Nothobranchius furzeri: one gene and its partner. The protein of the gene in region 2 interacts with the protein of the main gene of each other region in a pairwise test. Links are inferred from orthologs where the notes say so. Each region holds a gene or a part of one and is shown on either strand. Other genes may lie near its edges.

Evidence for each region.
Region 1: the proteins of znrd2 (region 2) and cct7 interact in binary tests that used the Homo sapiens proteins (3 or more experiments, as listed by UniProt). The two-hybrid records come from large-scale screens. The link is inferred for Nothobranchius furzeri from reciprocal best matches to the Homo sapiens genes ZNRD2 and CCT7.

What each region holds. Positions count from the first base shown.
Region 1 is NC_091754.1:61,263,153-61,266,666, reverse strand, and holds the end of cct7 (T-complex protein 1 subunit eta), read right to left. Parts: intron 1,473-3,514; coding exon 1,266-1,472; intron 1,170-1,265; coding exon 939-1,169; 3' UTR 599-938; downstream 1-598. UniProt on the Homo sapiens protein: Component of the chaperonin-containing T-complex (TRiC), a molecular chaperone complex that assists the folding of actin, tubulin and other proteins upon ATP hydrolysis.
Region 2 is NC_091750.1:56,222,187-56,225,939, forward strand, and holds znrd2 (protein ZNRD2), read right to left. Parts: upstream 2,695-3,753; 5' UTR 2,616-2,694; coding exon 2,600-2,615; intron 2,266-2,599; coding exon 2,114-2,265; intron 1,573-2,113; coding exon 1,488-1,572; intron 1,346-1,487; coding exon 906-1,345; 3' UTR 617-905; coding exon of another isoform or gene 604-616; 3' UTR 231-603; downstream 1-230. Other genes in the region: leucine repeat adapter protein 25-like, read right to left, coding at 604-616. UniProt on the Homo sapiens protein: Might play a role in mitosis. Antigenic molecule. Could be a centromere-associated protein. May induce anti-centromere antibodies.

The DNA of each region.
Region 1 (3,514 bases), on a different chromosome or scaffold from region 2:
ACCGAAAGACCTCACAGAACAAACTACCTAGAGACTCTACTCAAAGACCTTTTCCTCACATTAGATCCTGCCACGGAACCCGTTTCTGCGACGGTGGTGCGCCATCTAGCGGTGAAAGGACTACATCTAAAACTCGTTGAGAGGGTCCTGGATTACAAAGGATTGGGACATGACGTCACTGGGATTACTGTTGGTGACGCAAAAGAAAGATTTATGTAAAATTAAAGCCCTAGGACCCCCCCCCCCCCATGCTCACCAAAGGCTAATCAGTGCTAAACTGACTTTTCTTGTTGGCAATAATTAAAAATAAAACAAAAGCTTGTTTGGGGGAGGGGCTTCTTTACCTGCCAAGATGCTGCAGCTCCACGAGAGAAACCAGGTGCAGCTCTGCACCCTCATCACACTGCAGACATCAAAGGTGCTATTACGTGTTTTAGTGCAGCTCATTAAATATTCTAGGGATGCTCTGCGCCTCATCACCTCTGGTCAGGATTAACTCAACACCACCGTGCATCTTGTTTCACATGTAACGTACTTCCTGTTATTAAATAAAAGAAAGAGCCTCGTCTTTGACTCGGGACAGGAACACACCACCTCCTGAAGGATTTCAGCCGTGAGTTTATTGATAAGAATGGTCCAATAAATAGATTTGCAGCCGTTCACCGGTGAGAGGTTCGGGACTGCTCCTAATTCCGTCAGTAAACCTGCCAGATTACAGTGACTGACCAGCTCTCCTGGCCGTTGTTCTTCAGAACATCTCCGTGACCACAGAGGATGAACGTGTGAAATGCTTACGGAGACAAAGCTACGAGTGAAAAACAGAAAAAGGAAACAGTCTGGACTGATTCATGAACTTCTCTCATTTAATCCAGATTAACTCTTAACCTGCAGCTTTCCGTTTCTGGATCTGACTAGAACCGGGTTTGGTTTATGTTGCGTTAGTGGGCGTGTGGTCTCCCGCGGCCCCGCCCCCTGCCGGCGCCTCCCGGAGGCCCGTCCATGCTGCTGCGGGGGTTCTTAATCGTCTCGTCCACAGACAGGATGAGGCACGCCGCCTCCGACGCCGCCGTCAGGGCGTTGATCTTCACGATGGACGGTTCCCAGACGCAGGCGACGAAGTTATCGGCGATGTCCTCGCTGTTGATGTCCACACCGTACCAAGTACCACCCTGTGATGACAGACGAAGCAGAAAAACCGTCATTTAAACAAAACCAGCACCGCCGTGGGGTTGTGATCAACGTGACCGGGGCTTCTTCCGTCCCACCTGTGCGTGTTTAGCGCGCAGCTTGTTGAGGATGTTGGTGGCGTCAAAGCCGGCGTTGTCACACAGCTGTCGGGGGATGATCTCCAGGGCTTTGGCGTACGCTCCTATCAGCAGCTGCTGCTTCCCGGGGATGGTCCTCGAGTAATCCCTCAGGTACTTGGACAGCTCCATCTCTATGGCTCCTCCGCCCGCCACGACGGAGTCATTCTGCAAAAGAGGCGCCAGCAAGTCAGGAAACCGTGGGACCGGGTCCAACAGAAACCCGCTCGGGACTAGAGGTTGTTAAACACGATGAAGATTCTCTATTTGAGACCAGAGCTGCTTGATTATTGTGGTTAATGTTTAGCTGGGAAACACGTCTGACCACACTTTCTCACTAATTACACCACAGTTCCATAAAAACGGTCTAAAATGTTATGAATAGATTTTCAGTTCAAAACTGAAGTAAATGTCGTCTGGATGAGTTTCCTGTTGGGGCTCCCACTCAGATCACGCTGGTCTGAACTAGGGTTGTCACGGTAACCGGTGTAGCGGTAAACCCCGGTAAAAAAGTTGACAATAATAATAACCGTCTTGTTTTTAAAAAAATGTATTATCTCGGTGGATTACCGTGGCTGCGGTGTAGGCGCGGTGACCCTTACCAGCCACCGTATCATCTGCTGAAGTTGCCGGCGGCACATGCGCACTTTGTTGTTTACAACCAAAACTTTCTTGAAGCTAAAGCTGAAATAATGGCCAGAGGAGGAGACGGCAGTGCTCAGGACATTTATTATCCCTCAAAGAAGACAAAGTGGGAAGTACGGGCATCTTTTGGATATCTGAAGAATGCCGAGGGACAGTTGATAGAAGACGGCTATCCTGTTTGCAGCACGTGCAGAAAAAGTGTCTGTGAAAGGCAGCAACGCTTCAAATCTCATGACACATCTGCGTGACCATCACCCACAACTCTACAGTCAACGCAAGGCAAGCTAACGTTAGCGTTTTAGCTAAAATGCGTGATCCGAGGATTTGGGTTGAGGGAGAATGCAACGAGTCGCTATATAAAGCAGCCGCAGCGCCGCTACCTGCATATAAACCGTGTCGCGGACACCGCCATGTTGAAATGACGCTATGCATTACGGGGCTCCCAGGGGCAGATAAGAGTTGGTCTCTCTCCGAGAATAATTATGAATTTAACAACGATTACTGCCTGATGACATTTTCCCACATCTGCAAAGCTCACTGGAAGGACACAAACCGAGGACAATATTTTCCTGATGTAGGGTTTATTACTCAAGTAAGGGTAAAAAAGTATCTGAGTAGAAGGCTACTTGAGTACTGAGTATCATCTGATCTAATACTTTTAAAATGATGACATCAAACTAGGGCTGCAACAACGAATCGATAAATTCAATGAAAATCGATTACTAAAAGCGTTGGCAACGAATTGCGTCATCGATTCGTTGGCTAAGAGGTATGCTATGATGTAAACTGGTACATTATGATGTCACAATGCTGTCGTGAGCCTGAGTGTGTGTGTATTTGTTAGCGGCTCCGCCCTCTTGGTCTGCCAGGTAACAGCATTTGTTGCATTTTTCAAACATGAAGTGGGAGTGGAGTTAGACTCTGGTAGGGGTTGACTTGCTCTTTAAGCTGTTTAACTTGGACCAAGCATTTTAGGTCACAGATAGATGTAGCTTAGGGTCTCTGTCTATACACCTTATAAGACAATTTAGGTGATGGCATGTTGTTTTTCTGCTATTGAACTGTTTTCTAATAATGTTGTGTTAAATAAAGTGAAGGAAGGAGAGAAATAACGTTTCCCTAGCAGTTTTTAAAAATGTCCCTATGTAATCCGATTAATCGATTAATCGTGTCGAGACCCCATCCGATTCATCGATTATCCAAATAATCATTTGTTGCAGCCCTACATCAAACAGACAAAAAATAAGAAGTTATGGGCAAATATTGGTATTTTAAAGACTAAAGGGGAAAAATGTAAACAAATAAACAACATAATTACAAAATAACACATTTTAGGCAAAATTTAGACACAAACTGAGGACAATATTTCCTGATATACAGGGTTTATGTAGTTGTCTGAAAATGTAACGTGTTTAAAAAAATACCGGGATAATTTTGGTCACAATAACCGTGAGGTTACATTCACACACCGTGACAACTCTAGTCTGAACCCCTCGTCTCGGCCGACGGTTACCCACCTGCCTCTTCACACACAGGAGAGGCTGCAGCAGCCAATCACACGCTTT
Region 2 (3,753 bases):
ACACTAGCCAGTTACTTAGGTGGTTTCTGAACAAAGCCTGATGGTTTAAAACGCAACAGTAATATATTTTCTGGACTGGATATAGCCGATTTGATCACTACATTTATTTATTTTTTTTCTACTAGATTTGCTCAATTTGATCAGTTCACACGTTTTTTATCTTGTTTCTGTTTAAATTAGGACATGTCATGTAGTCCAAACACAAAATGGCAGTGAAATAATTCAACAGCTTCATCACAAACACTTTATATAAGAAAAACTGTCAGTTTCCAAAAGGCTTCAGATTAGCGAGTTAAAACGAAGGATTTACATGAAAGTTGCACATTTGAGAATAAACTTTTTATTTAACCACCTATGTGCTAGCATGTAAACCGGCGCCCTCTGGTGGACAAAATGATCATCTACAGAGCAGAACTGAATTTATTCTAAGTCACATAATTAGAAAACGGATCACTAATTTTTTCAAATATTAAGTCCTAATAATGTACAGCGGGAAAGGTGTGTATGTTCTAGATTAAATATGAAAATGAAGATTCTGAGTCTCAATTTAAAATTTGAACTACAAAATGTCCTCACAGACACACTATGTTATTTACATCAAACCTTTTTTACTCATCAAACGATCAAAGACAACTAAAGAAAGTCGATCTGCTTTGACAACTGATGAATGTTTGTACTCATAATTTACAGTTTGACAAAAGCAACATACTTCTACCATCGGCACACCTACACTTTTTCAAGAGGAACTTGAGCACATTTGAATTGTGATCCAATTTCCATTTAATTTGAGCTTTAAGCAAAGAATTAGGCAGAGAGATAAAGCCGACCCAAAGTTTGTACCCTACAGCAGCCAGAACAAGAAAAGATATTCCCGTCACTCCGTAGAGTCAACCAGTCTCCTGTGGTTACTGGCTGAGCTCCTTGAGGCTGCGCAGTGAGCTGGCGCAGCTGGTGATGAGGCTGCAGAGCTGGATGCTTGCCTCAAGTGAGGATGAACTCTGTAACTGGGTAGTGGCCCAGCGAAGTTTAGTAAGAACTGCTTCCTCGGCTTCCTGCAGCACAGGTCGTAGAGCGGCGCTCTGCGGACTGACAGGGGTACGAATGGGAGCTACGCTTGGGCTGGAGACAGGAGCTGAAGGAGATGGGGCGGGAGGTGGAGGCAGGAGGGCTCTTCCTCCAGCAGCAGCGCCCTCACAGTGCTCTGGTCGGGGTTGAGGAACCGTCACCCCTGCCTGACTGCTGCTGCAGGGTGTCTCGTTGAGTTGAGAGGCTTGGGTCGGTGGAGGGGACTGAGCTGCAAGCTGCTGCTCTCTCACCTGAGACAATGCAGCCTGAGCATTCAGAGCTGGAAAACGGAACAAAGAGGTGGGACTGAAATATGAACTGGAGAGATTAAATCCTAAAGACACCACAGAGGAACCAGCTGCCCTTTTTTAGGGCCTAATGAGCTCCAAAATCAGGGGAGAGCAGACACAACTGGCGCTCACCAGGGTTATCTTTGTCGATATCAGAGTCCAGCTCCTGACACGAGACACAGTAGTTCTTCTGCTGCTTGTCCTGTAGAAGAATAGTCTGAAAACACACACACGAATACACACAATCACTTATATAGCCATAATTATGTTTTATAATATTTGTTACTACTTCAACTTCAGGACAAACTACCAGAGGCCCAAAAAGAACAAAAAAACACCACTTGAAGTCAGTCAACAAAAGATGTTTGGACCTAGAAAACAGTGACCGGTGTTTAGCGCCATCTCTTTTCCTCTGGCAATGCAGGTTCCTGTTTCCGGCCAAGGACAATCGCTGATGGGAGGGGTGAGCGTTCCTTGACAGTGTTTGAGTTTAAGCTTAGCTTGTTTTGAAGATTTGCTTTTACCTTTTTTAGTGTGTCATTACAACAAAATGATAACCGCAGTTCTCTTAAGGTAATTTGAATAAGTCAGTAAGTAAACATTTTGCAAAAATACTTTCATAAAACAAAAGATAAATTCCTTATTAATGCTTAGGCTCTGTCCTCAGCAGGGAGGCCACAGAGAGGTGCAAGATTGCTGTCAGGGTGGCACTGGCCCACCCTGGACCCACCCCAGAACCGCCTCGGGCCTGAACTCACCCCGCAAGCATCGCAGCACTCCCCCAGCATCTTGTAGCCTTTTAGAAGGTAGTCTCCCATCAGCTTGCTGATTTTATCTTGCCGTTCCCTTCGAGCTTGGATCACCTTCATCTCCGCCTCACATGGAGGTTCCCACTCAAAGTCCTCTTCATCTGCAGGTCAGCAACAACGGAGTAAATTAACTGAATCGCACCAGTGCAAAGCTACACAACCAGAAACACAGCTTTAATATTTACGCGTGGTGATTTATTTTCTCGTTGTTTGGCTGAATTTTTATCAAAAGGGGTCAGGAAATGACAAGTTAGCCAGAAATACAACGCTGTTATCGTGGAGATAACACTTTCCCCGGTGGCGATGAAAAATATTACAATAAAAATAAAAATACCGCAGAAATCACCGCTTAAATGAGTGCCAAACGACGTAAGACACTAAAACACACAGTGAAACGGCAAAGTTAGCAAGGAAATAACAGTTAAGTTCACATACCTCCATTCAAAGCCATGTTGCTTCAGTGCTACACGTTCTGCGTGATGACATCAGGCGCTGTCGTCGACTTCCTCTTCGTTCATCAAACTGAAACCATGCAGCGGGTTAGAGCGCCCCCATGTGGGGGTGATGCGCATAGACATGTAGACACCCGGCGCTGGAGAGCGTCACTGTGTCGCCGCCATATTGGATGGGTCTCCTTACTGTCCAAAGTCAATGCAGAGTGGACAAATTTGCCCGTTTTTTCCAGCCTACCATAGCTATGTGTATATAAACCATCGACATATACATGATATAAACACTAGTTGGTGAAAGCGAGAGTTGAGGGCGTAGCTAAACGGCGGCCATCTTACCCCAGACAACAGACCTCTGCTCTCAATGGTAGCAGCTGGAAGGTGAGCGATCAGCTTGATGTAAAACAATCTTTACTCGATTAAATATTAACACATTTACAAGCGATTTGCCTTGATACAAACCTTAGAACACATAGGCTTGAGATAACATACTTGCAAATGTTAAAATAAACGGTTTTGCTTTTGAAAGTGACTTAATTGTGAACCATGTGCCCCACCTATAGGCTATTTGCGTGTTATTCAGGTTGAGACCACAATAAGTAATTTATTTGGTTTTACAAAACCAATAACGATTTTACGACAGCCAATTATTTTTTGTCCAAATGGCTGTGTTTGGGGATTTATTTTTTTATTTTTTTGTATTGGCACTGGAGCCTATCTCCAGCAGTCAACGGGCATACAGGAGGGGTACACCCTGGACAGGTAGCCAGCAATATATATATATATATATATATATATATATATATATATATATATATATATATATACATACATAATTTAGCCTTAATCTATTCCTGTTCTGTGAAATAGGTTTTGTTTAGAGATGTTTCAAGATTATTTTGAGGTAAGCCCACATAAACAGAACACATATGCAAAATGTGCACCCCAAAAAATAAGACAACCAACATCCAAATTACATCGGTCAGCTAGAATGGGCCGCCAGCAATAAAATGTAACCCAGCTAATTATTTTGTATTTTCACTATTTCTCGACCTATTTATTGACTTTCTTTTATTCTGTCATGAATCGTGTGTTTGTCATGTGTTTATATACATATCTATGATTGCAACAACTGGCGTA